2 linked regions of the Styela clava genome follow. The protein of the gene in region 1 interacts with the protein of each later gene in a biochemical or structural test. Links are inferred from orthologs where the notes say so. Each region holds a gene or a part of one and is shown on either strand. Other genes may lie near its edges.

Region 1 (15,686 bases):
CCTGGTCCACAATTCTGTTCCCACATTTTAGTTTAGCGTGCTGCAAATTTGATTAACGAGATTGGTTTTGATGTAAAAGATCGTGGTATTAGTCCCATGTCTGAATTCATTAGGTATGCCCTGCTAAAAATCCCCTAATCGCTGTAAATATATGCACGAATAAGCCTATGACCACCGCGAAATTGTGGGATGGCAAATTGTGGGCTAGAGTAGCCTTGGTCATACATAGGACTTATATAACCATACCACGTTGTGCGAATCGAGGCATCTGTTTAACACACTGATTCACACGAACAGACAAACAAATGATCAACCTATTTCAGTATTTATTGTTACAGCGTTAAATCGTAGTAGTATATATATATTTACGGTTAAAGTACGGTATAAAATGAGATTTATTGACAATTTAAAGATTATTGAACCCCACTATGGTACAAAAATATAACAATACCTTACACAAGACAAACACATAGGACGGAAATCCAGGAAGGTTGTCGAAAATTAAAATGAGATTTGAAACATAAGACATACTTTTTTCTTTTGGAAATTTCGACGTCAATTTCAATCGCCAGCACGATTTAACCACGCAAAAATAGTTTCAAGTACGAAAGTACATTTTTACTTCTCGCTGTCGCAGAGTGGCATATGGAAGTAAGGTCGGGCGAGCCTCGTTCATTCATTCAAAAATAACAGGGCTCTAAACATTGACGTATACACCTCCTCACCTCATTGCTCTGAGTTCCATGAGACTCGATATTTAACAAAAAAAAATCCACGGGATGCATCTTGATTTGTGCTAAACGGCCATAGGGTGGTTTGTGTGACCGCTGGTGGTTTGCGTGACCGCTGGCGAGAAATAATCGTTTTCGGGTCTAATAATGGAATATTTCATGGCGTGTTACTAGATTGCTGCTGACTGCCCCTATCATAAACTAATCATGTACATCAGTTTCCAAACAACATTATTCAACTTTGCATTAATGCCCTTATCCGACCTGTCATAACGTTCCTTTATATTGTTCATTGGACCAGTAAATTAGAATAACTTACTTACAAAACTTACTATCAATTTTTGGCAACGCCTGTCAACGCGAATATAAGAATACATACTGACGATGCCATTTTATCGACTTTTTGTTAATTGTCAATAACTGGATAGATATGCATATAATCCATGATTCGGCTTATTAACTCCGCAGAATAATCAGAGTCGCCTATACGACTGTAGCCTGCAGGGATGTTGCAAAAATTTCAGAAGTTGTCGAAACATGTAGAATTGTAGAAGTCACCAAAGTCCGTCGGGAGAGATAATATATATACAAACTGTTAATAGTTTCAACCGTTCTATGTTGGTTGAAAAGGCGAGATATGCAACATTTAGCAGGCTGAGACTGTATTAACTACACTATTACCTCTATTCGTACGCAGTAATATTTTTTTGGTTAAAATTTTCATAAAACTTTCACGTTTATACGTTGAATATTCTTTACAATTGAAAAACTAAAATCAAAAGAAGCAATGTCAACAAATGAAACAATACGTGGCACGGAAGATGATCATGATTGTGGAATTTTTCAGTAAGTATATTATATACCAGGAATGGCGAACCACTGACCCGCGGGTCACAAAGTGACCCACCGAGTTTTATTCGTGACCCGCCAATGCACAAATAAAATAAAAAAAATGCTATCATATCAGTACTCAAAATTGATAAAACCGACCTTAAATTAATTTAACAATACTTGAACTATTATAATGTATCGTCAGTTGGGCAGTCAGGGCTGCGATCGCTCATATTCAAATTATTATTTATTGGTCGGTATGGTAATTTTCAAAACCCCTAATCTTTGACGCATGTCTGCACCGCTGTGTACCGTTTTTCAGCTATTGGCTCTGATATCGTTTTTGACATAACAACGCAATTGATCTTTTCATTTCTCGCAATATTTTGTCTCTTTCGGAAGCGCATCTGCAGACTGTTTTGGGGGTTATACGAGAGCTAGATGCTACTAAGTTGCATTTTATTAGTTTCTCGACTACAATACCGTTGAAAAAAAATCATTCAGACTCGGAATAAAAACTTAGAAATCTGAAATAACGATGGGGAAGAGTAAAAGTGCTTTAATGTGGTTGAAAGCTGTTCGAAAAATATAACACTATCAGAGTGGAATTCCCTCCAAACTCTTTGGAACCGTAAAATAATTTTCTTTATCATCCTTAACATTTTTGGTAATTTATATGCGTTTTTTCGTACTATAATTTCATAAAATCGAGTGCCATAAAAAGTCCCTGCTAGAAGCGCTGCATAAGTGAAGCCCAAAACTACACCAACACCAACAAAAGCTTATAAGATTTGTTTCAGAAGTTTCTTACAGATATCAAACTTTGATTAAATATCTGTGACCCACTCTCTTCTGCTCCGCGACCCATTTTTGACCCATTCATTGAAAAAGGTTCGCCATCCCTGTTATATACAATGACATGAGCCACGCGTGAAAAATACTTCTTCCCATATCAGTCAGTTTTTAACCGTTCTAGTCGGGGTAATTATTTAAAAATATTATGCCGCAATCACTTCAAAGTTGTGCAGCGTAATAAATATGACCTCGATTACAAATAAGACATTGAATACAAATCAAGTGATAATAAATGAACATAACTATACTATTTTACAGTACGAGTCTACCATGGGTGGCACTGGCAGTTCTCGTTGCACTGACGGCTTACTTTTTCAAATATGCGAATGTGAAGGTTTTCAGTAACAACAGCTGGGGACCTTGGCAAAGGAATCAACAGACAGAGGAAGCTTGACATGGAAAAACTATGTTTTTTATTCATAATAACATGCCATAACTTGGGTAACATGTATATAAATCTGTTATTCGGTGAATAAGGTTCTCCTCCAAGTATATTGAAGATTGAATTATCTCTCGTAATCCTGTTTCAATCCTCTATCAGCTTTTTTCAATTTGGACAAGACGCTCTAATCGTCGGCGTACTTCCATTCTACTGAATCGATTGACTGAACCCTGGCTCTTAATTAGTCTATCACAAAGTACATAATTGTCGTGTCCTTCTAAGCAATACGTAATAGTTTTTGTAGTAGCAATTTTTGTGTTGAATTTGTGTCAATCTTATTTTGATCTGAAATGACTTCCATATTTTCTTTAACTGACCGACTTTAATCAAATGACCTCAACAGTATTAAATCTTCCATGTGTCTCGAAATAGTGTCGACTCAATTTTATCCATATCGTTTTCATAATATTTAAATTACATCGTATTTTTATTACCGTATTTTTTTCTTCTTTTACTGCCACATGAATGTTCAAAATACATTGAACTTGGAGGGCCAGGAGCCTCGATGACTTTCGCCGGCCTTGTAAACTGACCAACATAAATAATTTAATCCGAACTGTGAGTTTTATGTTCGGTATTGCATATATTTGCTTGTTGGAGTTTGTTGTTTTGCGAAATAAAATTCTCTTGTATGTATGTATTCATTAGCTCTGATAGCAACTATCTACTGGTTTTGGGGAAACTCGCGCCATGTTTTCAATGTCCTCGTAAAGGGAACGTAATGGCTTGTCTCGAACTCGGTTAAGCACCTGGGAGATTTTCCTTAAGACTCGAAAAAAATTGCTAGTGAGCCTGGAGAAACCAATCCGGAAAAGCAAGATTTTCTACATCGATTGATGTCATTGAAATTCATTAGATTGTTACAGCAACAAATAGGAAGTGATAATACCGATGTGAATACTTTCGATTACTAGCTTAAATAGTAGTTAGATTCTTGAAATAAAAAGTTCAGACTTACAGTGTCAATGTGACTCATAAGTATTGATTTCGCTGTTGTTTATGATTTTTTTATGACTCGAGACTCGTTTTGCAAGTCGGGACTTGACTCCTTAAACTAGGGAGCGCTGCTTCTCAAACTCGGATAGCCTGTGAATTGAATTTACTCGCCGTTTAGGGGTTGCAATCCGCCACTGCTTATCCACTGTTTGATTTGGGAGACTTACTCAATGTTGCAGTTTTCATTGTCTAGTACTTCTGAGTTTTTTCAGGGCTATCCATTGTATGTCGTCCATAAATCAGTATCAAATCAATGAAAATATTTGGGTTATTCTGCCGTAAATGACACAACGCGAAAATCCGCAACATGCACCCGAGGCCCGGGTCGAGTAGTCACTGAAATTCTAGTAGCTGATATTTAGAATTTATTCTGGTTTGAAAGTATACGCAAATAATTATACATGTGTATATAATTTAACGCATGGGTGGGCAAATTACGGCCTGCGGGCCGGATCCGGCCCACCTGGGTTTTCATCCGGCCCACTTGTGACTGCTGAAATTATGACTATGCTTTTGTATGAATATAAATTTCCGTTGAAGGTATCGATGATATAAATTGACATTCCTTCGAAAATATCGATAACGGATCGTCAGCTAAAGTAAATACCTTAATTCCCTACGCATGGACGTTTCTCCGACCATCGATTTCCTCGGTTATTTCCGTAACAATGACAAAGCAGCAAAAAGTTTACGATGACGTAACAATTAAAATTTTTGCAGCCGCTTAGACACTGCAGTTGCTCAGACAGATATAAAAACATGGTTGTAAACATTGCCTAGTTTTTGAGATTTTGCGTGGTATTTGTCGGTTTTTAGTTGCGATTTCAAAAATTAGTTGTAAATGATGTATTTTAATTGTCACCATGTCTTTCAGTTAGCTTCAGTTTAGTTGCAATAATCAAAAATTAGTATCCGGAAAACTGCGATAGACTCGGCTAAAACGATTAGTACGTATAAGCGGCACGTGGTTGTATATTTTGATAAAATTGAGAGTTTGAGCATGTAAATCAGTTTGTAAGCGTCAACTCTTTAAAACACTTGAAAAATAGGCATCTACACTTTTGCAGTAATAAAGTATAGGGAGAATTTTTTGGTGTCAAGGGTCTGGAAAAGGTCCATAAAAAGCACCTGAATATAATGTGCAAAATCATTCATCCGAATTATTTATGCCATTCAAAAACTTTAGGCCCGCAATTTTTTTTCGTGAATGCCCCAACAATTGGGCAATTGAGCATTTTCGAGGATAAGGAAAAATCCTCTGGCCCAGTAACCAAGTCTAATATCCGCATCCGGCCCACTCAGGAAAGTAATTGTCCACCCCTGCTTTAACGTGTCAGCGAATGATATAAACTCTTCTATATTAAAACAATGAACAAATTGTAATCGGCGTAAAATGGTGATAGAATTCATAACCAGCAATGCCATTATAAGTTCTACGATAGAAGTGACCGACAGACTTGATTTATAAGCAGGGAATCCACACCGTCCTTATTCCTGAGATTTATTCTTATTTTTAGCTTGCGCCCTTATATTTGGCTTGCTTGTCTTTATTTTGTCTTATTTGGACATCATAAAGGAAGCTTTGTGTTGTTTGTTTTATCGCCAAAGATTTATTGTGGCATCATAAAAGCACACATTCTTATTTGGAACACGAAAAAGCAAGGCACAGATAGGCATGAAGCATTGTTAGTGTGGCGATCCTTACGTTTTGTCGTGGTGGTGGTGGTTATTTTAGCCTAAATTTCAAAATGAGCAAATGTAAGAACGTTTTTGGTGAGTACAGGAGTAGCCTACAGGAAAAAATTCAAAGTTAAACGAGGCTTGATAGATGAGTGCTTTGCACACTGTGACGTCTGTAATTGTGACATTAGCCTGAAGGCCAGGAAAGCAAGCTATTTCTGCTCACAATGCAGGAATTTTTCCAGTCGTCCTTATTTTGGGTTCCAGATCGATGGAATCAATGTTTATGAGTATAGGATTGTTTTGACTTCATAATCAGATGAAAGACGGTAATAAGACAATAATTGATGAAAACAGATAAATATTTGATAAAAACAATCGATTACGGAATCAGAAGGGCGAACAAAACCTTGAGTAAGGTTTAAAACGTACATTTTTTTATTGAGGTATTGTCAAAAGAAGTGGTAGCCTACGCGTTTGCTCAAGACTCTTGACACGCATACATACAATGATGCAGACAAAATAATATCAGACGAGAGTAAAAAAGACACAAGATATATTACTTGGTAAAAAGAGAAATATATATACAAAAACATGTATTAATAAAAAAAATTTTTGCCTTACCATATACCGTATATATTAATAATTTTGTAAGGATTGCCGAACTGGATACCGATTTAGTTGACAGGAGTGAAATTGTAGAAAAAAAATTCTGAAAAGATATCGTCAAGCTGATTATAGTTGGAGTCTTCTAAAGCCAAATTGCTAAGTTGGATGCATGAAGAGGTGGGCTACACTTTACTCACCAAAGCCAAATTCACCAAGTCCATATTATATCAAATATAGTCATAGTCAAGTTTATTTCTTCCCATATCGTGAATCAGTGTATGTAATTATAATTAAAAAATAAAATAAAATAGGGCAGTGTGGTACTGAGGTAGGAGAATGAGTTATGGGAATATACAGGTTATCAAAGGTTGAAGCAAGGTTTTCATATTCATCAATCAGTTAATTTTATTTGGTCACTCTGATAGAAACAAAACAACAACAAACGGATGTGAGACGTGTATTTGTAACACAACAGTGCTTTTCCTACAAAACTATGGAATAAAAAACACTCGCTGACGTGAAATGGTGATGCTGAGCGCCTAGTTCAATTTCATTGCAGAAATAACACAGTGACAAAAAGTGTTACTAAAAAACAAGCTCGGTAAATAGATTGAATGTTCCATAGCAGTCTATGCACAAATCATGGATTGGGATATCGGGTCCTTTTGTCGTTCTCGATAAGTTCAATTTAAAATCATCGTATCCGTTCCAATGCTTCCAACATCAATATCGAATTTCCACGAACGACCACAATTGCAACAGGTGCAGCGGTCCCATCTTTTCACATTAATTTTGGACCCGAAATTATAATAGAGGTTGTCGACTACTAGGATGAGTTCAAATTTAACATGGATGATTCATCAGTCTTTGCAAATTAAATCGATGTGGATACCATTATTGTTGGACAAGTTAGCTGTTGCATTGATTTTATCATCGCGAGACGACCAGGAAAATGAAAGATGAATCTGCGAGTAGAATGTTTAATGGCATATGTATGTGATTATTGTTGCCAGGTTCTATAGTTACTATTGAATTATCGCACACATTCCAATTTTTTTTTTGAGATTAAATAAAACTATCAGGTATAACTTTTTTCTAATGAAATTACAAATGAGCCTGCATAAAAATACAACAAATATAATAATAAATTCATTATATGAATCCTAACGGAACATGAATATTACTCAAGGAAATGGCAACATTGATATTTCGCGCGGTAAAAGGTTCCCTGTATATATTTTTTTATAATCCGTTTGGTTGTTGATATGCATCCACTTGGCACGTGTTATTATTGTTCATCGCTCAGAGTACAGAAATAGCCTACTGACTTCCCCTTAATTCTGTGTTTGCCGAAGACATACCCGTAAACTTAAAGAAGCCTGCGACATCATGCCTTGCATAGAGAACTGGCAGAAGAAACCGTTAAGCATTGTTCAAAATATTTTCGGTGAGTACCGTAAAAGCGCCTAACTTCGGACAGTTCCTAACTTCGGACAAAATTTTTGAACGGCCATATCTTGGCTAAAACGGGGCATATATTGCTAATTTCAAATATTATAGGTAGCGCTGTTATATCTACATCTATTCTCATCTTTTTAATGTGGCATTATAATTTTTTTGGTACAAAAACGGCAATTTTGCCGAAAATTGACTGCCCGGCATTCAACGGCGCAGAGCGTCGCTCCTACTAAAGCTATCATCGTCAAAATACCATCATTCGGTAGAGGGCGATAACAATGTATATAATTTATTTGAGTGATCGCAAGATGTCGTACGAGATTTAAATAAAACCTAAAATTCTGAATTATAAATTCCGTAAGAATATTAAGATTTCACGCAGCGTCAACAGTTACGTCAACCTCACGTAGATTATTTTTCGCTCACTTCCGACACGACGTCACACTGCGTCGCGGAAATGAATTTTGACGCCAGACACAACGGCGCCAATATGACAATTTTCGTTAAGATAAAGACGGCATTCCAATGTAATATTTTTGTATTTTGTTCGGTCCATGTGTGAATATATGCCAAAATTACATTAATAAAAATACATGTCACACTTAATCGATGACGTTAAAAATCGAATATATAAAACTGTAAAAAATCAAACGTCCGTATGGCACAGTGTACTGACTTAACAATTATTTTATGATTAGTAGTCGAAATGACAGTTATTTGAATACGGCCTGGGTGAATTTTATTCACTCGAAGTTAAAAATCAACAAATAAACGGGACTTATATGTTAACGAAATTAGGTTGAACTTTAAATTAAACTTTACAATCGGATTCACCGTGTGTTTGATATAAATTATCACTTATAAAGATTACCGCGCAGAATAAACCAAGCTATCCGTCGAGAATATTAATACTTCAAAGACTTCGATAGAAGCCCGTTAAAATATTTCATTGTGGATTGAAACGGTTTGCATCAGATATATTTACGTATGTATTTCCTGATTAAAATGACTAACGTGTTGTAATACTTATCTGACGTAACGAACGAAAGATGTAAACATAGGACGACGGAAGTTTCAAATAATGCATTTTCGTCGTGACGTTAATGTTACGTTACGACGACGATCGAGCGTCTTATCTTCACGCAACGACGTGATTACGTCATCCGCATCGGAAGCCTCTCTCTCTGAGCGTCGCGGTTACGCAGTGAAGAAAATGACTGTCCGAAGTTAGGGCAGTGAATGATAACGGTCAGATGGCAAGAAAAATAGATTATTTCAATAGTGAAAATAGTCCAATTGAACCGAAATTTGCAGGGAATCTAAATTACCGCACGAATGTTTTACCGAGCAATTTTGGCACCGTTTGGACAATAAATGGCCGAGTTATTGACGAAAATATAGTAATTTTGTCCGAAGTTAGGCGCTTTTACGGTACGATACCGTAACCTGGTAACTGGGTCTAGCGACTGAGCGAAGTAGGTACACGCCGTACGGTACCGGTAACTATATAAAATGGCACCAAACAAAATTGTGACTTGCATTTACCGCTGAAACTGCTTCATTAATGCCAAACAGAAATGTGATGTGAAATTTTTAGGGTTGGTCCATGTAACCGCTGGTTGGTTAGGGCTTTCTCCACTATCAAGTCCATGCTGGCATGCGTCTGAAAACAAATAACTGGCTACCGCCGTACCGGTACCAGGGTACCGCCGTACCGGTACCAGGGTACCGTAATAAATTTCATTCAAAACATGTATTACAAATTTCTTGCTATCGACTAGGTCTTATTTTAAGGGGAGGGCTTATATTAATATCATATTGAAAATTCAGGCTAGGTACCATTTTCGGGTAAACACGGTAGCAACAGACCAAACAAGATCTGAAGAATAACATACCCTAATACAGTAATAATACTGTAATATCTACATAACACTGTTATATTTGCCGCTCAAATGTTTACTGATGTTTTAAATCTATAGAAAATCGCAGTAAAGATGATTGGATCTCAGAAGTTGCAAAATATTTTGAATCACGTTTGAGTAATGAAGAAAATATATCAGTGGTGAGTTATGGCAGTGTTGTAGTCTTATATGAAAACTTGTTTAATTTTCAAGCATGTTTAACTCATAATTTTGTAATTGTTATAGCTTATCTATCCGTCTGTGCAGTCATTTAAATGTGACAAATAGTATACCGGTACCTGTAATATAAGCTTTTGTTGGTTGTTTTGTTCATTAGGCCTACTGCATAATCCGAATCAATATTTTCTAAATCTCTGAAATTCGAACCATGGTTCTTACCTGGATCCAACACCCAACACCTTCCAGATTAATGAATTGAAAATAGAGTTCAGCATTTGATCGCTTGGTCTTATTTACGCTGTATGAAAAGCAGATATTTTGGTCAATATATTTGGAATCAGAGAGTATATTGTTGTACTTTTTTGATATATTATATATACTATCATTCCATATGTGATTGCAGTAGCCTTCATTTTAAACTACTTAGATACAAAAATTTAACACAGTACTGGATAATTTTAGCACGCTTCTCTTTCTACTGTTCTAGGTTCCTTCTCTCAATGACAAACCGATTCATGAAATTCAGCCTAACTGTCTCGTTAGATTCAGATGTATGGTGCAAGACACATTCGACAATGAGTTTTTTCTCGAAACCTACAATATCACAGATAAAGTGAAGGGTGAAACAGTAAGTTGTAATAATAACTGGTATCCACTACCATAATTACCCAGACTGGGTTCAGAGGTACAAATCCAGTGACGAATAATTCGTGTCCGAGGGGATTTTTGAAACTGAACAAGCGGAAATGGTAGCCTTATGATTATTTTATCCTATAATTTATAAACAATCCTATCTGCTGAATAAATATGAAGGTTCTGTAATACAGTGTAGCATCTAAAATAAGAGCTTGAACATTACTTAAGTTGATAAGTGATAACATTGAGATATTGGAAATATTACCAGATATTTTTGTATGAAACCATATCAAATTAGCTAACTATTCCTATCTATTTACCTCTAGTATAAGCATGAATTTATTTTTTATTTTTTACATAAGTTTGCATGATAATAAAATTTTTTGCATTGAATCATCAACTCTATGATTCATTCATATTGTTTTTGTTTGGCTTGTCTAGGTGATGAAGACCAGTTGCTTCCAGGACTTGATTGGACCAGTGAGTATCAAATTATGTCAATATGGTATTTGATTGAAGGTTCAGTTTCTACAAATAAGTTTTTTTTCTCTCTGTTGGTAGTAGGCTAGTTTATAGTACAGTGCTAATGTTAATTCATTGATGGGGTCTGGTCCTGTTGTTTTTTAAATGGGTTGTCTACACTCTTACTTAGGTATTTCAAATCGATTGATGAGGCATAAATTGATTTTATCAATATGACAGCTTTTAATAATAATTGACAATATTGTCATCTAAACTTTAGTATATTATATTTATTATGCGACAATATGTGCGTGGATTCTTATAATTGACACTGATGTTTGCTAGACCTGCAATCACCTGATGTTTCTACCTTTATTTTTTGCAGGGTGATTATGACATTGATATGTCTTCAGATAAAAACAAGACAGGAATGAGACAAATTCTATATTGTGTATCTATACCTGCAGAGACAGATTGGGTTAAAGAGGTGAATTTTAACATTGGATCTGCTTTCATATTACTGACATTTACAAATTGCAATATCCACATTTGATCAAATACTCTGATGATGGAAATTGTTCAAAATTTTAGATATTGCTCAGGATGCAACAATACCTTTTAAAACTTTTTTGGGTTACCTCCGTAGTATGTGTACCAGGTTAGGGTTAGGCCATAATTTTATTCCGAATGTCCTTTAGTTCTATAACGAGTTCGGGAACTGTTTGTTTACCCCCTGCCCATAGGCTTCCGTCCCTTTGCACACTTGATGTGAAGTAGGCGAACAAAATTGTTTATCTCCATATTGGTACACATACTTCTGGAGCGCCTCTTCTGTATGCTATTTTTATCTATTCCCAACAAATTTGTTGTTTCTAGTCATGGAAGTCAGTGTTCACTTCAACCAAACCAAACAAGGAAGAACCAAGTACGAGTGGACAATCAATTAAAAGGAGCCGTGATGAAGATGATGACACAATGACTGTTGAAGGTAATCTGTTTTTGACATGTAATTGTTTGGTCCTGTGATTTGATTCAATTTAACATATGTAGTTTTTATTATGTAATGGTTTTATAATCACTACACTTAGTATTGCATACTCTTCAAGCTGTCTTATTCAGGAAATTGATAAACTGATTGTGGCTAAATGATAAAAAGGGGTAAATGCCTTTTGGTAATTTTTAAGGACTTGTTTTTTACACTTTCAATCTGAAACAGGGCTTTGTAGAAACAGCACCTAACACAAAAGCAACTACTATTTTTATAATATCTCTAATATTTCCGGTTCTTCTCGCTCAATTTACCACATCCTAGGTGAAATGGCGGGCATGAGATTTGAATTCGAGCATTTTGAATTGCGGCACCAATATAGGCCAAGTGTTCTAACCAATAGATCGTCAAACCCACATGTTTTGATGCTCCCATCAGTCCCATGTCTTCCCATTTGTGAATCAAAAGCCTTAGCACAAAATAATGGTCATGTATAAATATAATATTATATATCTTGATGATATTTCAGAAGGCAATAAAGATCAAGGTGATAGAGATTTTGGAAGCAACAAGAGAGCCAAGCCTTCTGCTAATTCAGGTAATCTTTTCTTCTTCAATTAGAATCATTTCTGCTTGGTGCTTTGTGATTATTCATGGTGGTGAGTCTGGTGATCTCTTTTCGAGGATGTCAATCTTTTCAGTTAAAGTAAAAAAGTAATTAAAACTGAAATATCTAATTGATGCTACTCGTTATTTCATTTTAACTTAGAATACAGATTATTAAAATTACTTTTTTCCTATAAAACCACTACTATGATTTGTGTTATCTGTTTGAGAATAAGAAATCGGCGGTGAATATATTGAACATGATTCCATATTTGATCTATGTATTCTTCTTTTATACTTCAAGGAAGGAGCAGTAGTGCTGCAGAACCATTGAACAAGAATCATCCTTTACCTGATGAAAACGGTCCTGTTTGTCTCGTAAAAGTTTATGATGAATCAGCTGATTTTAAGGTAAATAAATCAGATTGAATTTTTAAAATTAATGTAAAAGGTATTACTAGGCTTTTAGAAAAGTTAGAATTATATTATCAATTCTGATAAGAGCGGTTGAATTTTAGTGCCTTGCTTTATACTTAACTTTTCCCAACAGGCATTTTGACAGAAATGGTCTGAATATTGGCAACTAAATTGAAACTAAAAACGGGGCTCCCGAAGTATGCGAACCAAGATGACGGACATCGGAATGTAATATGTGTGCTAGGTTTGGGTTAGGCCATAATTTTAGGTATAAATACTACGGGAGGCTCTTGGCTAGTCTTCAAACTGATAATAGGACTAAAATAAGGAAAATTGGAAAAAAATTATCGCTTAACTCTAACCTGTTACCCATGTTACGTTCCGATGTCCGCCATCTTGGTTCGCATACTTCGGGAGCACCCTAAAAACTGCTTAAAAACTGTTTTTATTGAACAATGATACCCACCGTCATTGGCAATGTTTACAGTCAAAGCAATTTGAATTTGCATTCGGAATGTTGGTATTGTTCTTTTTAAGGTGAATGAAATCATAGAGTTTTATGGTGTATTATCGGTCGATCCTGAATTATCAAGTATCTATGATGCACAAACGAATGAAGAAAATGGTATGATTTTTGTGATTGAATAACTCTTACTATCATTCATTGAACAAGATTTACATATTATGTGTAAGCATCAGTGTTACTATAGCTCAAGGGTAAGCCTATGTAAACCTCACGGGTTAGCAATTTAAAAACTTGAATTTGGGTTAGACCAAGCCAGCAATTTCAATCATTGAAAACCTTATAGCTTGCTGATGATGCTTGCTGAATTTGATTTTGATCAGTTTCTATGTTTAAAAATTCACAAGTATGCAGCAATGATCACATGAACAATTGTTAATGTATAATTGCTTGAATTATTTATGGTAAGTAACTCTATTTATACGAAGAGACTCATAACTGCACATAATTCTGGGCGCTCAAGAAGTATGTGCAATAAAATGGCGCACAACCTGATAACCATAACCTGGTACACATACTATGTTCAGTCATCGAATGAGTGAGAAAAACTTCTTTCTCTGCTCTGATCCCCCTCCCTCTATTCTACTGAGCCTGTCGCACTGAATAGGCTCTATACTTTTAGGTACATGCTCATTTTTGAAGTCTCTGACAATTTTGTTAATATTTACCACCTTGTTCGATTCCAGGCATGTGTGAAATGGATGTTGGAGATGCAGAAGAAAAGAAAGCCCATCATCCTCCAGCATCAATTGTTCCAAGACTACATGCTTTAACAATGAGGAGATTGAATCATGATAATCCTATTCTTCCTATGGAAATTCTCCCAGAACAGAGTATGATACTATTTGTTTCTCGCATCTATTTGGAAAAAAACATGACTGAGTAAAGTTGACAACGTAGATAGAATTGATGAAAGTAAAATTGTTTCAAGTCCTAATCTTGGTAACTCTAAGTTTGCTCAGACATGAGTCTTCTTGACTTTTGAGTGAGTGCGAATGAGCTGATTCTTTTGAAAAAATTCTAATTTTACTAGAGTCTTCTTGACTTTTGAGTGAGTGCGAATGAGCTGATTCTTTTGAAAAAATTCTAATTTTAGATATCTGTTTACCATCATATATTCTTCTATCAGGATCTCAGATGCAGAAAGATGCCTCAACCGTTCGTAGTTGTCTTTTGGGATTACTTGAAAAAGCTTTGTTGGGTGATTCACTTGCTGCTGAATATTTGTTGTTGCACTTGATTTCAAGGTTGGTCGAATGATAACCGTTTCATTTTTTTCTCAAATTTTGCCATTGCTTTCTGGTGTCTTTTTACTCAACCCATGCTTAATTGAGAAAGTATGGTAAGTTTGGGGCTGCTAAATCTAATATCAGTTTTGCCTCAGATTTGTACTGCGCCCTAAAATGAGTACATTTTTATTCATATTTCAGGGTGTATTCCAGGCGAGACATGCTTGCTTTAGGTAAATTTTCACTTAATATTTCTGGTATTCCACCAAATTCAACATATCCTAGGATTTTGTCCAAGTTTTTACAAGATTTAGTGACAAAGGTAAGCTTTGTTTCATATCTTTCTACTTGATAGTGAGAAAGTTTTATTTGTTTGTGGTAGAATGCATTCGAATCAATAAACCCACGCAGGCTGATCAGTGGAACCATGGCAAATGTGGTCATACTGCTTTGCACTATGGATCTACCATGACTCCATGAGGCCGTTGTTTGACTGATTCGAGTTATGCAAAATTGACATCTTGCTCTCTGAGTTAAACATTCTTTTATATGTGGTTTTATGTGATGAAAATATTGAAATGGAAATAAGAAATGAAAAATAATTATCAAACTTTGCTTTTATCAGGGAATTATCTGACTTGTGCGCATGTGTAAAACTTTCTATGTTAAGGAATAGTGATAACTTAAATGTTTTTTTGATTTATTGGGAAACGGGTAATATTAACGGAAAATTATATAACAATATACTGCAATTTTGATATACGGTAATCTATAATTAGTTAGTTGTTGTGCTTGAAAGGAACACGCGGCTGCACATTGGCACACCAATCAAAACATATCATGTTGAAAATTTCGTTAAAATTTTGGTCTATTTTATTCCATTATATAACATTGTATTTTTAGCTCTATTACTTACCTATGTCAATTGATAAATTGAATGAAGGGAAGTTCATACCAACGAAAAATTATTCAACAAATAGATTAGATTCTGGAATACTTCAATTATCAACTGGTACACATCTTGTATTGGATGAAACCATGTTGAAACCCGGTACCATGGATGCAAATGGAGTGAAAAATGTGCAGGTAGCTATTATATAAAGTAAAACATTTATGAAACATTCAAAGTATATAGGATTTGT
Region 2 (15,964 bases), on another chromosome or scaffold:
AAAACCCATGAATAACTAAGTTTTATAACAAAATAAATAATCTTACAATATCTCTAGCTTGATCATGTTGATCTTTCACAATAAAAATCATGTCAAATCTGGACAAGATTGTCGGCATAAAATCGATGTTTTGTGCTCCTTTTGTATCATCCCATCGTCCATAAACTGAGTTTGCAGCAGCCAGTACAGAGCAACGAGAGTTGAGGGTTGTTGTGATGCCAGCCTGCGTAGATAAGATATTGGTTGAATTATTCATTGGTGGCATTAATATCTAGAACAGTGGTTTTCAATCTTTTTGGTGGAGAGGAACTAAATAAAACAATCCAGAGGTTCGAGAAACACCTGTGCAATACTTGTAAGTTGTAAGACTACAAGAAGAAGAATTGTACAAACTATAAATATATATATAAAAGCAAATCTAATAATAGCAAAACAATATGATCTTCGAGAGTATAGCAAGTTTGATAATAGCGGCAAACCTAAAAGGTATTTGATTGTGAACTGTCGTGGGTAGCGGAACACTGGATACAAATCTGCTGATCTAGAAATATACCCAACTGAAGGCATAATAATGACAATTTAACTTTACAAATTCGCACTATAGTTTGAATGGAGTAATTACCAAATGAGATAGCGATCAGAGATCGCCGATTTATCGTTTTAGTGGTGTGACAAGTGTATGTGTATCCATCGCTCAGACTCAATAGCGTGGAAACTTTCTCGATGGAAACTTGCGCATCGCACACAAACACTCAGCACATGCACGCTCTCGCCTCAAAAAATCCAGGTCATACACGTTCTCTCGCTTTGCAAAAATCTAGATCTCTTCGTCACTTATTAATTAATAACTCGCTAATTATACGACATAATTCATCCAAAATCAATAGGCTTCTGGTCCGAGATATGAATGCATATGCAAAGTTTGGAGCAGATTCAACCTCGCTTTCGTGAGATATTGCATGTATCTATCAGACAAACAAACAAACAGACAAATACCTATCAACATACTTACCGATCAAGATCGATAAATAATAAAGTTAAAATTCTCAGTAACTAATAACTACACCGAACCAGCATATAATATTAGATATAAAACTAAAACATTTTGCAATACCAATCAAATAGAAATTATGCGTAAATATGATTAACAATTGTTGCAAATAATGTCGTATACATTCCAACCTTCGCAATGGAGATAGTCTGCTGTTCCATGGCTTCGTGGATAGCAACACGATCATCCTCTCTCATTTTATCAAATTCATCAATGCATACAACACCCCCATCTGCGAGAACCATTGCACCACCTTCCATCACAAAATTTCTCTGCAAAATAAAAACATTAAATAGTAGATTACTGAAAACATAACAGTCAATTCAACATAATCACATTCGGTCGGATTATTACCCGTCCAATGGCTTACATATATATATAATTACATCTGCAAAACAAAGATTTCAAATTAATCAACTCCACAAGTCAAATTGGCGATCAAATTTACCGCACATGATTGAAACTCAATATGTTTACCGAACCAGTAAAAAGTAACAGGGGTGTGATAGATTATGCAACTCACTGTGCTCGGGTCTTTTATTACAGAAGCGGTTAATCCTGCAGCACTGCTTCCCTTTCCAGACGTGTAGACCTGGAATTAAGAAATTTTAAAAGGAGCGAGTAGGGTCGGCTTTAATGCAAATTTTTATGAATTCACTGTTTTAGTGCTGTTTTTTTAAGGGGTCGTCTTATATGCGAGGATATTCGTATTTATAATTGGGATCTCCCTCTCCCCTTAATCCTCATTAGTATGTTGGAATAAACCACCTAGCAACAGTCAACAAAATAAAGGCGATTTCATCAAAACAGATGAGCATACAAGTTACAACAAAAATACTGATATCACAATGATTATAACTTACTGCAATAGGTGATACTTGTTCCACAAATTTCAGAAGCTGAGATTTAGCTGTTCCAGGATCTCCTAACATCAATAAGTTTATATCTCCTCTTCTCGTCAATCCATCAGGAAGTCGTTTACGAGATCCACCAAACAGAAGACAAGCTATGGCTTTCTTCATATCTATGATGAAAAAAATGATGGTTAGAATTTACAACTAGATGGGCCTCTTCAGTTTTGGTTCATTGTAACTATTTTATAATGATTAGAAAACTTAACAAGATTGGTAGTACGATAAAGGATTCAGTATTAAAAACTCAGCGCTCCCATAGTATATGCACCAAGATGGCGGACACCAGAACTCAAATAAGAAAAATTGGAATAAAATTATGGTATAACCCTAACCTGGTACACATACTATGTTCAGGTGTCCGCCATCTTGTTGCACATACTACGGGATTGTTGACTAGAACCCAAATTCAGTACAGGTCAGCAAAATACTTGAGGCCTAATAATGAAAATACTCCAAACACACTCCAAAAAATCATTTAGTACTGGATGTACAAAGCTGACTAAGCTTCCTATTCCTGATACATTTAAAAGTTTTTGCATCACAAGAACAAATAACATTCCTTCTTGTTCTTATTACAAGTGCAAACTTACCATCACTTCCGAAGATTGATGGAGCGATCGACCGACTGATAACATCGTATATGTTGGGATTTTGTGTCAATCGTCTGATATTTTCTTCTTCCTCAGCAGTAAGTGAAGTCCCCATTTTGTGTCCAGTTGCTCCAGCAGTAGCCTCAACACCCAACACTCGAAGATATGGTGTCCTGATACCGACACCAACACCTCTCGCTTTCATGTTTTTCTATGATTGTGAAGAGGTATAAATGGTTGAAAATAAGAGCAGTGAACAAAACAGATTTTGGCTTTTATTGAAAACACTAAAATATATCCTTATTTACCGGTAAGTACATTATTCCAGCTTAAACTGGTCAGATCCGGTTTAATAAGACAATAAGAAACGAATTAATATATACAATCTTTAGCGCTCCGGATGTGTGTGTACCAATATGGACGTAACTAACTTTGTTCGCCTACTTTACATCAAGTTATGTAAAGGAACTGAAGCCGATGGTCAAAGGGTATATTCACTTGGCTAGCACAGTTAGTCCACGAATCCATAATAGAACTAAAATAAGGAAAATCGGAATAAAATCATGGCCTAACCCTAACATGGTGACTGGTAGACACACTACTGGAGTACCCAATCTTTAATGACATTGCCAACCATGCAGTACTAATGATCTTATTATAAACTTATTAGTTATTACCAAACCGGGAAGTTATTGGTATTTCTGGGGAATTTGTTACATTGATAGTTAAAAAAAAACACTACACATTTTGAATAAATTTTATTCAGACACAAACTTACTGATTTTGATGATACACTTGTAGATGATCCTCGTATGGCATATATTCCAATCACAGTCACTTTATTTCCTGGCACAACTTTGTCACAGAGGTAGCGGTCAATATATAGTTGCAGGTGTCTTGGCATTTCACCCTGTAAAAATATGTTTTACAAAAAATTGCATTCTAATTTAACCGGATGCCTAAATTATTGCCTATTTCACAATTACCTAGTTTTTTAGGGTTGTGAAAAAAAAGAGTCGAGACACACTAGCTGTTAATATCATGTTCATTTAACCCAGTCCAGTGTGAGTCAGATTAATTCGAAAATAACGAAGTGGTTTTAGAAATTACTTTGCACTCTCGATTGCATGTCCATGAGTAACTCAAAATTATGATACTGAGATGTTGAGTGGAGCAACTGTATGTACTGCATATATATAATAAAAATTTTATCCCATAAAATTTCAGAAATTGGATATAAATCAACAGATAAATCTGATTAAAGAATCAAAATTTGATTAACTTCCTACGAAATGATTGATTATAACTGTAATCAAATACTTGTGGTTCGCCGGAATAGCCTTAATAGGTAAACATATAATCAGGCCTACTGTAGTCTTTAGTTTGACCTGTTACAGGCAATGAAAAAACACTATTCTTGGCAGACTGCTGTTGAAGAAATAGGTGGTGATGGTGGAACAAATAAATGTGTAGAAAATATAATAATCAAATATGTATCTTGTAGACTATCTGCTTTAGCTTATTCACCTGTGGTACGGCATCTGGTGCTTCTTGAAGCTTCAAGGTTTGAAAATCAACACATTCACATTTCTCAGGAACAATGAAAAATGGATCGAGTGGACAGGGTTCTCTTCCTTGTGCCTCGCTGATGTAAAAAAATTGAAAATGAGTTACTAACTACTGAAATTTAATGAATAAAGTATGAACTAGTTCTAAGTTAATTTTCTTTCAATTCGTTCAGACTTTGAGATATGAGAACTTAGACTCCCAACTTTGGAAAGTGTAGAATAGGATGCCATCCCAGTCCAATGTTAGAAGAATGATGAGCAATCAAACATTGACGCCAAAGCATAGCTTTTGTATCACAGGGTAATACCGAATGGCATATATATAGCATCAAAAAGAAAAATGCAATAACTAAAATATTCACTGACGTTACGCATTTTCTTGGTAAACTATATCCTTCAAAACCAGGTTTCACTATAACATCATTTATTGTGGCTCGACATGATCGACATTGGAGGCCAAGTTTAATCGCTTTTGCTCGAATAGCTGTCGCTGAAACAATGATTCCTGGGACTTTGACAAGCTTTGACATCTGGTCAGCCTGCAAAGATATGACAAAGTGTTGTCAAAATACAGCTAATATTATATACAGTTTCAATCGATTGAAAACATGATAGACAGAGCAAATATTGTCATACTTTTCAAGTAGTGGAAAACATACTGAGAAGAACAATAAGTGAATAATGACATTTAATGAAGATGATTAAATAAATCTATTGAATTTAAAATTTATTAAGAGTCTAGTTTGAACCCATAGTTTTGTTCATATCTTTGACATAACTCTTAAAAAAGTTTTATAAATATTCAAAAAGGCTGTTGATATGAGTTCATGCTGAGTAAACCTCAATATTTCAATACCTTCAAGCTTCGAACAGAAGTTGGAATTGCCGTTGATTGTAGAAGTACTTGTACCGCATGAACAACTTCTTCCCCCTCTGGTCGTGGTCGAGTGACTTCATCAGCAATTTCCTTTGCAGCTTGTTCAAACTAAATAAGGTGAACACACACAGTGATATATATGAGAAAAAATATAGTATTCTAAATTTGATATCAACTACAATTGACAGAATAAAAATAATAAGCAAAATTGCTGCATTAAACTTAAGTCTCATATTCTTGTTACCTCCAGCCATTCAAGAGAAAGACAAAGTTTAAATATTCTCAGCTTTATTAAAGATGTCCAAAGTTTAAAGAAACCTATAATGATGCTTTTTCACTTTAGCTAGTATGATAATGTGAATATGTGAAAAAATTGGAAATATTAATAATTGAGTCAAGATTGAAATCAAAATTCGATTCTCAATGAACACAGTATTAATGTAGGCTATATTATATATAAACGCCCCATCTCAGTCATGTGTCTTTAAAAATTTACTATTGCTTGACAATGAGCAGTGATAAACAATTAAGTGTTTTCATATGTATTTGGGCCACCGTTATTTAAAAAGGTACTTTTCTGGAAGGAGGAAACTTTTCCCAGTTTGGCATCGCATGCTGAATTTATTACACCAGGTGAGATGATAGCCATCAGTTTCATATTTTTTTTATATCTTTAATTTGCCAAATTGAAATAGTTAAGTAAATCTTTTATACCAAAGGATGATATTCGACGGGTTGTTTCATCAAACAATCTGCTAAGTCATCATCATAAGACGCCAAGTGACCAAGATCAACTTCGACCCAATATTCTCCAAGATTGTAATTTCTTTTTAGTTGATCTCTGAAACAAATAAAGATTTGAATCCGACTGTGGCAGAAATTAGGACATACAACCGTATTAATCACTAATTGACATGATAAATGACTGGGAATTTGTTATTTCAGTATAACTTAATTGATTTTTTTCATTTGATCAAATCTGCAAATGTAAAATAGATCCATGCCTATATCCAAATAGCTATTTTCATTTATCATTCAGTCATTACTGCATTACTGCATTAGGATAAGATTTAGTTAGAGGATGGGACATACATTTATTCTGGCTGTTATAAATACCCAATTCACCCATCTACTCATACCTGCATACAGCTACGAGTCTTAATTACAAATGTTAGAATGTTAGCAAAATTTTTTATATTACGGTGTCGGTAATGCTACAATGACTAAGCTTTCAAATGTAAATGCAGAAATGGCAGGTTTACAATGCAGTATCAGAGTGTTAACAATTAGTACTTGTTCAATGTTTACATAACAAATACAATACCGGTATTGCAATTGCACAAACAGACAGACAGAAAAGTGATAAAGCAAAAAATCTTTAAGATTGAGGCATTCAAGCATTTGGATAGGATTTACATATTTATCATAACTTATGTCTGTATGAAATACCGTAATAACCAGAATAACATATTCAGATATTCTAGTAACCCCATCAAAAAGGTAAATGTTCATCATAATACCTGTAAGCATAGGTGACTCCGCCTTCAATTGTAACATGAAATTCTCTCAAGAAATCCCTCAATTTCTTTTTTATCAGCGTTCTCTGAACATGTCTGTTATCAGTTTGATCCTCAGATTGACCTCCAAAATTATCGCTGAAGAAAACTCCAGGATCATCGAAACCAGTCATAGAAGCCATAACCAAGACGATAATATAATGCTCTATAAGTATACCAAATGAAAAACAAAATACAAACGCCCTACGAAACAACACAACAAACAATCAATCCTCTAGCTGTCTTGGCTCTGAACAACTGAGGCCTTGATTTTTCGCGGGGTTGATGTCACGTGTTTAGCGTACCGCGAGAGCTACATGCGTGAAGACAGAGCCGTCGCCATTTAATTTCACTTCGTCATATAATATTTCTGCACCTTCTATAAAATGGTAAAAGTAGATTGCCAGTTAATTTTTGTTCTGTTAATTCATTGGACCATTCCTTCTTGTGAATATATTATAATTAACTGTTAATAAAGACACATATTTTCAAATACGTCGTGATTGTAGGGAAAAAAAAGCAAATATGACGTCAGTTTCAAAGTTTAGTAACATCTGTAGCAAGGAGCGATCGACGATATACCCTCTCGTAAAAGCTCATGAAAGCACCTATAGGTCATGAAACGTGAAATTTTCTGCAGCTCCCCTTCTCAGTATTTTTCATCATTAGATACATAACGTATTTTTTCCTGTTTCATTTATTTTTAAGTTAAAATTCATGATGATATTGTATATTATTGCACCATATTGTTGGTGATAGCAACACAGCAATGTCATCTCTGATGCAACTCACGATCGTAGCTAGCGTTTACCACATATCGTTATATTTCGAAAAGCTCGTTCAAAATAGCAAAGTTAGCTGTGAGTGAAAATTTAACTAGGCCAGCGAATTTCAGATAGGTAACGGCCAACGCGGAAAATTGGTACCCACGAATCACGATTAAATGTTGCTTTTCGTTCCTTACATCACATATTGATTTTATACGATTTCTTTTTTTGTCGAACGAAATCATTTCAACTTTTTCTTATACGTTATACATTGTCTCTTTATGCTTCTTGTTTATAAAAACAATCTGTCTCGTCTGAGCATGGATTCATATACCGTTAGCTAACATTTCAGTTTATGTTATAGGTTCAGTGGGTTACGTGTTTAGGGGCCACGAACCGTTTCTGTCCTTAGATAGCTTTCGTTATTAAATACTTTCATTAACAGAATAAAATTGGGGCTTTAATTTCTTAAAAAGAATTTCTTTGTTTTTTGTGTGAAAAGCACAAAATTTCCGTGGATTGTTTTTTGAGTGTATTTACCAATTAGCCAGGTCAATTAAAGATTTGTGTACAGCTAAATCCTTTGAACGTGTTTTGTGAAAAAGCTCAAAACATCATTGTAATTGTCTTTCCCCACTCGAAAAACAAATTAACAGAATATAACAATGTACATATTGAACGAGTGCAAATGACACCCCTTTTAGACAGTAAGTGGACTGTTATGACAACGAGTTTATCATTATTATTATTTCATGGAGTAACACCCAACCGCGATTAGATTATTTAACGGTCAAGTTCCATTCATTTGATATGACAACATACTCTATTGAGTGCACATGAATAAGCATATCAGCATTGAGGATTATTGTTACGCCCCCATGTAACGGTGCGCTAAACTTCTATGTAAAACACTCATCCTCTCACGCTATCTAGGCCTCATTAAAGGGAATCTTAAGCCACTTCATTTTTTGTCGTTGTTCTGAAGAGTGTGCTATATCATTTGTCCATCGACGAAATATTTTTTGTGATTGTGATTTAGGAAGAAAATAAAGTTGCCATAATTTGGCTATAAATAAAAAAAATCATGTCTGGATTTGCGAAGCTGCTTGCAGTGATTCTGATGTGCGGTACATTCATATCAGGTATATATAGCTCTAATTACTTTTTTACTTCAAATCCTTCTTGTTCTCTCATGCTCCTTCTCCCCTCCCCGCCCTTACCCTGCTGTTTTATTGTTTACTGTTACAATGTATATTTTATACCTCACCCGGGTTTTATTTTTTAACAGCAAATGACATTGATCCAATGTTGATCGAACCTCCTAAAGTATCATACGAAGGTAGGCAGAATAAAAATAATAAATTTGAATAAACTAATAGTTTAATGTGATATCATGTAATTATTATCTTTATTAACTAGTATCATTTGAAATTTTTTAACTACATAATGAATACAATGGTTACACAATTTCCAATCAGTATACATCACCTTTCCCCAACATTTCGATATGTATATGCATAATATATATGTGACCGCAATGACCCAGTAGTGCCCAAATATGTGTAATAATATATATCTCACAATCACAAATTAACAATTTCTGTTCTGAGCCATGATCAGTATCTTGTTTAAACTTTTTTCGAGACTTCAAACATAGTGCGAAAACATAGGTTTCGGTCAGTGATGGGAATTCGAAATTTAGAACAGTTTCTTTTTTGTATCGAGCTCACTGTAAACAGGTAATTTCAGAAAATCATTCCGAACCTACGGTTCTAATAACAAATCTAGTTCGCTGATAATCACGACATTCTAAGAATTAATATTTTGGTTGTACCAAACTTCAGAACCTATAAAAAAAATTCGTAGCCATAGATTGCAAAAAGTATGCTATATTTATTTGCTATGTATTATTTTCACTGTTTACTTTTGCGTAACTAATTAACATTGATTATTGTTTCATATTTACTCGGATATTTAGATATGCTAAAAGCAGCAGCCAAGTTCAATTCCTTTGAGTTTGACGGAGGTGTGGAAATTCTAGGCTACCCATCAGAGAACATCAACATGGGAGGGTTTTACGGAACATCTCAATACAACGTCGCGATGTTTCGTGGAATAAAATACGCTACGGCAGAAAGATTTGAGAAACCAACTATGCTGGACAAAATAGATGGATTAGATGTGACGGCCTATGCGACTGGTCCTTCATGTCCTCAACCCTCTGCAGGTTCGATTTTTCTCATTTAAAACAAGTTCAACATTGAACAATCATTCACATTGTTCAGAATAAAACTTTGAATATCCAATTGATATTGTTTTTGTGCGCCTTCTTCGCACTCATTAATATATACCAATATATATATATATATATATTATATAATCTCAAGAAGTTTATAAAGAGTTTCATAAATCTTCATAGCTTTCAAGAAGCCGCATTTGACGTCAGATTCTTGCACGATAGAAATGAAATATCTGAATCTAAATCATATATATATAATTATAGCTTTAACACCCATATTAAATTTTCAGGGTGTCCGACCCACTTATATCACATGTAAATGTAGCCTACTCATTTTGTAAACTCCAATGGAGGGAATAAAACTATTATTTATCGTTGATTCAATTCAGCAATAAAAAAAAAATTTGCGTAACCTCGCATAAATTTGATATCTTTTATAGATTTCGACTCCAGCATGGCCACAATAAGTAAATGATTGCATCGTGTAAACTCAATTGCAGAATTTATTGCAATATGAGCCAATTTCAATTTCGAATGTTTAAAGACAAACAAGGGATTCCGCGCATTTATGGTAGCCTACTTATCTCAAGCGACATCGTCGCCTTCTGATAATGTCTCACTTCAATGAGTACAAATCAGCCGGATGGGCAAGATTTACTAATTCGGCACACCCTAATCTTAATACGTTGGAAAAATAACTTTAAAATCGTCTGTTATGGATCTCTGAATTTCAATAACTTACCTTTGAGTTCAAATAAAAATGAAATCTGTGCTTCTCAAGTTACGGCAGGCGGTTACAAATTACCAGAATATATATATATATACATATAGTACCGAAGAGTAGAGTACCGAATCATACATATATAATGGTTATAAATATGATCGAGCCTTATTGTTCGAGCCTTATATTTATTGAAATAGCTTATTTATAGTATAATATAATGTTCGAAAACAAGCGCTTTCTGTGTATAAGTATTGAATAGGACTGGGAATGGTTAACCGGTTAACCGATTTCAGATGGCTAACGGTTATTTTTTATTTTAACCGTTAACTGACATCTCAGGTACAAACCATCTTCATACCGCACAATATCGTCAAATATGATTACGTCATCGCAAATTTATCTCTTGCGGCGTTTAATTCAAAAAAATATTACTAACTGTGTGGGTAAGGAATCAATAAATGTGAAAAATAATGGAAGCACCAGTGGCGGCGCGTGGTCATTTTGACAACCGGGGCAAGCTACTGCGGGACCAAGTCACCCCCATCTACGGGGACAGGATGAGCGCTGTAAGTTCTCCCATCATTTTATGAGTATAAAAACCATTCCATCGGTAACAACCAATCGGCAAAAGCGACAATTTTTAACGATAAGTGTCTTTAAAACCGGTCCAAGTCAAGGGATTAATAAATATAGACATAGTTTATTTTGAAACCTCTTTCAAAAGGAAAGGCAATATTTACCCAGATAAATACAATGACATATTAACAGAAACTTCGGGAAAGCAGACAAAACCTAAAATAAGGTTTAAAACGTTACTATGAAGAAAGGAAAGCTAATGCAAAGATAAGGACATGCGTCGCTCACTCATAGATATATATGCTGCTAGACTTCTACTGCTTGAACATATATGCAACACGCCGCGGTTTCTTGGAAGCAAAATGCTCAATAACGCGCTGATTAAAGTCATGCATCCCAGAAATAACGTCTCTGTGAATGGATAAAACAGCCAAGGAATTTAATCTATCTTGCTTCATTGTGTTTCTGAGATACGTTTTAATACGCTTCAGCGTGCTGAATGTTCGCTCTGCGTCGGCGGAAGAAATAGGCGTCGTTAAAATGATGTCCAGAAATTTTGCAGACGCCGCAAAGGTAGTTACTAGAGTGTTATCTATGAGGAACCCATAGAGCGCGCAAGTTGATGTGATGTTCAAAAAAGTTTGATTGGTGTATATACATCGCAATTCATTTTCCAATTTACCCACGTTTATCATGGGGAAAAATTTGGAGACAGTAGCCAACAAATGGATGGGAAATTGACGTGCAAATTTTGAAACATTTTTGGGGTTCATCAAAGAGAACGCGGCAAGGTGTTCAGTGCGCAGACGATCGCCTATTTGATTCACCAGAATGTCACAGCATTCCTTTGCAGACAAAATCAAACGCTGCGTTGTTTGCCCGCGGCGTAAAGAAGCACTCCATGTGTCGTCGTATTTTATTGTTTCCCGGATACGAGATACAGCATCGCAGAAGTCTGAAATACACGACTGCACAGACGCTCCCTCCATTAGCCTTGACTGCAATGCGCCGTATAATACATCCACGTGATAGAATATTGTGAGGAAAAAAGCGAGAAAAAATGAAAACTGACCATCTTCTAGCACATAGGTTCTCAAAGTGCTCCGTACGGAGCCCCAGGGCTCCGCGAGAGAAACCCAGGGGCTCCGCGAGCTATTCGATTACTTTTCAAAATACTGACTAATTTTGTAATTGTTCAAAGAAGAAATAACAGCTTTGATAAAATCTAACAACAATATAGCCTCGAAATATGGCAAAGAGACGGAATTAAAAAATGACATTATCTATAAGCAGGAGCGCAGCCAGGATTCTTAAGAGAGAGGTGGTTCAATTTCTGCGCAACATTCGCGATTAAAAAACGGATGAAGAGATTTCTGTTGCGTAAAATATTCAATCCATGACCGATGCGAGCATTTAAAGTGTCTCATTGTTATAATGTAATTGTGCTCATCTTTATTCACCTTTGATTCGAGATTACTATTAGGATTACTAAAATGAAAGAATACTATTCTAATAACATAAAATATGTGATAAACTGCCAACTATAAATAAATTGGAGTCGTATATTTGCGATCTTGGGATTTGTCAAACTTGATTTGTTCTTCCGTACTTGAGATTATTATTAAGCAAGATATCGCCGTTTAAAAAATCACAATGTCTGGGCAAAATACGAACAAATGAAATTTATTTTATTGCATTCGGCTACGTTGGTAGTTTCAGAATGAAAAAAGATACATCGCGGATCGCGCGCACAATTGATTGCGTGCGGCTCCGTCGGCAGTTTCAAAATGGGTAAAAAAGGTACATCGCACGCACAATTGACGCACGCACAAATGACGATTTCGCAGTTACTACGATGAAAATCTAACATAACAGCAAATTTTGTGATTTACTATGTCTATAAAAGCGTTTTCAATCTGAGGTGAGTCTGCTGAAACCAAACGTGTGAACTTTCATTTTAAGTTTTAATATTTTGGAATGCCGCTTTTCAATCGAGAAATTTGAGTTGCGGATCTACCTCTTCATTAATTATTATTTTCAGCAGTTCGTCGCCGATGACTATAAAATGGTAACATATTTTTCACATTGAACTCATAATTCCCCACGAGAACAAAAAAGCAATGAACGTCGTCATTGTGTAACAATACATGTATATATATGCCGAGGGCAATTTTGGATTTAGGGAGAATAAACACCGGTGTAAAGATTGTAGGTTCAAATACACGCCGCCATGCTGAGGAAAAAATCGGCGATTGTAACAAAATGCAATCGCGCACATTATTAGCGGCCTTTTAAGTCTTCCAAAAATGTCAAAAGGGAAAAGACTCGAACCCGAATTTATTAGTATGTTTGTCAAGTGTCAAATTTACAGCTTTAGTATATATAATTTATGTTTGAAATTTAGATATATTTATGGCTTGTATTAACTCTATTAAAAAAGGTTCAGCATTTAAATTGAGTAAAGTACTTTTAACTTGCTCAAGAATATAAATCTGGAAGTTACAATTTTAACATTTATTTTGGGGCTCCGTGAATAATAGTCAACAATTTCAAGGGCTCCACGACATCAAAAGTTTGAGAACCCCTGTTCTAGCAGACGCTTTAGACCTGCCGCCTCCCTCACAGAGCGTTCGTCCCAAACCGGAGAGCTCTGAATGCCATTGAAACACTCAATGAGCTCAGACCTAATTTCGGACACGCCCTGCACCACGCGTGATTGGAAGTTCCAACGTGTTGGTGCACACGCTGGGAGACGGCGGATACATATCTGGCGAAGGAGGTCAGAGCGCTTCGGGGAAACGGAAAAAAATGAAGAAAACCCCGAAACATTTGCAAAAAATATACGGACGAGAGGGGTATCAAGACACATATTTTTAATAACGAGGTTAAATTGGTGTGCATAACAATGTAAAAAATGCGCATGAGGAAAATCTTCTTTTATATAAACTTGAACACCATGTTTCGACCCACTCATGACTGCCGCGCCGTCATAAGTTTGAGCTATCAATTTTGACTTCGCGTTGTAAGGCTGTAACACTTCTTTCAGTACAGACGATATCCCGCAAGCCGTGCGATCAACGATTGGTACAAAGCTGTGAAATCTCTCGGTAGGTTTACCATCTTTCACAAACCGAAAAATCACAGCCAGTTGGGAAACGCACGTGATGTCAGTTGTCTCGTCAGACTGAATCGAAAGGAACTGGCAATTCTCAATTTCCAGAGCCAAATGTTGTAAATAAATTTTATACATTGAGTCGAGCAAATCATTTTGGATATCCTTAGATGTCCCTTTCGAAACAGTTGCGGCATCAAGATGATCTCTCAATACTGTATCTAGGGATGCGGTGTATTCCACCATATCCAAAAATACCCCTCTACTAGAAGAGCCAGCTCGTTCATCGTGTCCACGGAGGGACAGCTCGTGACAACCAATGAACTTCTATGAACCAATGAAACATCTATCAATCGACCGAGAACATGGCGGTTTTTCTCGACGTTTTGGTTATGCCGACGAATAGAAACCGCGCGTCCTTCATCCAACTGTGCTGCAATATTAACATTTCCGAATGTTCGGTATTTTACTGCATTGTCCAGATGCTCCATAGAAGATTGATGATCCCTGGCACGCTCGGAAAGATGTTTAAGATCTCTAAAACCAAATTTACACCAACGTGAGTCACGGGCGGTAGCAAAAAGTAGGCAATAAAAACAAAAAAGTGCATTTTTGTCCTCGCTGTAACACAACCATTCGTGTTTTTTTATACCAAGTTTCTGCGCAGAATGTACGCCGACGCTTTCCTCCGTCATGGGATTGTTCCAGTGAACAATTTTTTGGTTGATAAGGCCCAGGACGTTGTACCTCTAATTTTTGTTCCAGCGGCAGCTGCGAAAACGGAGTGCGAAGTAGTGCATCAACCTTATTCATTATGAGGTCTAAGGCTAAGAAATGCGAAGCCGGAAAGAAGTGAGGAGCTCAAAAGGAATGTGGAAAATCGAAAGCAAATGGACTAAAGGTCTCTAACTGATTCAAATAGCGAAACAAGCGACAAAAACGGAGGCGAAGAAACTATCAACTCTTCAAGCAACCAACGAACGAGAAGTTATGCGTGAATATGTCAACACGTTGTTGTAAGAAACGTCAGCATTGTGTCGTCATAATTTCGGGGCTAGCCCCGATGATTTAGTAAAAGAAACAGAAAACAAACGAGACAAACGTGGCGAGTGGAAGATAAAAGAGAGAATACGATATACAATTAGCAACCAGGGCAAAATCGGCGTCGCCCCGTCGACGTTCGGCGAAGGCTTTGCGAGCGAAAAATGAACCATGTCGGGAGAATATGGCTAGTGTAGACAGTCTGTGCAATCGATATTGAGGTATTTTTCGAATATTTTTTATTATACCGAAAAAACAACCGGGGCATTGCCCCGGTTGGCCCTATTGACGCGCCGCCACTGGCGAAGCACCAAGGTTGCTGATAATGAAAATTTACAATGATAAATTCAGAATCAGTTTTCGGTCGATTTCGAAATATGTTGTTCACGATTTCATTGCAAAATCATACAACAAGTGTGCAGTTGATGGCGTTTTTCTTATGATATATATATCTCGAAGTAGAATTTGCACATCGAACACTAAAAATTTGTCACATAAATGAGTTTAACAACGGAATAGGGTTTTCTAAAATATTTCCACATGCCCGTACCACGATGCCTATCTTTTGCAGCAGAGGAATCATGAAACTATCTCGATTGGTGAATAATTTTGAGCGATACCGGGATAGGACCACGCGAAATTGCTTTATAACCATTGTGACGTAACAAGCTGAAATTATAATTATTACGTCAAACGTCACGCGGCGGTTAACCGGTTAATTTTACCCGGTTAACGGTTAAAGTGTTTTCTCTAAAATTCCCAGCCCTAGTATTGAATAAGAATTTAGTATAAGTGAAGTGACGGAGTCCTTGTACATCCATATTGAAAATATAAAATCTGTACGAACATTATATTTGTTTGAAATACGTATTTATAACAATTCGTAAGAAATGGCGTAAATGTATCGTGAGTTGTTCTTTGAAAATTACCGTTCATGTACTGTATCACT

Evidence for each region.
Region 2: the proteins of mini-chromosome maintenance complex-binding protein-like (region 1) and DNA replication licensing factor mcm5-A-like form a complex in vitro, tested with the Homo sapiens proteins (2 studies listed by BioGRID). The link is inferred for Styela clava from reciprocal best matches to the Homo sapiens genes MCMBP and MCM5.

The regions. Positions count from the first base shown.
Region 1 is NC_135258.1:12,522,502-12,538,187, reverse strand, and holds the start of mini-chromosome maintenance complex-binding protein-like, read left to right. Parts: upstream 1-7,410; 5' UTR 7,411-7,533; coding exon 7,534-7,591; intron 7,592-9,581; coding exon 9,582-9,664; intron 9,665-10,170; coding exon 10,171-10,311; intron 10,312-10,760; coding exon 10,761-10,799; intron 10,800-11,166; coding exon 11,167-11,268; intron 11,269-11,657; coding exon 11,658-11,769; intron 11,770-12,298; coding exon 12,299-12,367; intron 12,368-12,679; coding exon 12,680-12,786; intron 12,787-13,329; coding exon 13,330-13,417; intron 13,418-14,001; coding exon 14,002-14,148; intron 14,149-14,444; coding exon 14,445-14,562; intron 14,563-14,745; coding exon 14,746-14,866; intron 14,867-15,447; coding exon 15,448-15,630; intron 15,631-15,686. UniProt on the Homo sapiens protein: Associated component of the MCM complex that acts as a regulator of DNA replication.
Region 2 is NC_135255.1:15,594,925-15,610,888, forward strand, and holds the start of DNA replication licensing factor mcm5-A-like, read right to left. Parts: upstream 6,825-15,964; 5' UTR 6,700-6,824; coding exon 6,521-6,699; intron 5,842-6,520; coding exon 5,715-5,841; intron 5,109-5,714; coding exon 4,980-5,108; intron 4,663-4,979; coding exon 4,490-4,662; intron 4,201-4,489; coding exon 4,083-4,200; intron 3,466-4,082; coding exon 3,334-3,465; intron 2,767-3,333; coding exon 2,556-2,766; intron 2,076-2,555; coding exon 1,915-2,075; intron 1,644-1,914; coding exon 1,575-1,643; intron 1,324-1,574; coding exon 1,183-1,323; intron 224-1,182; coding exon 47-223; intron 1-46. Other genes in the region: neuroligin-4, Y-linked-like, read left to right, coding at 8,408-8,465, 8,612-8,662, 9,302-9,550. UniProt on the Homo sapiens protein: Acts as a component of the MCM2-7 complex (MCM complex) which is the replicative helicase essential for 'once per cell cycle' DNA replication initiation and elongation in eukaryotic cells.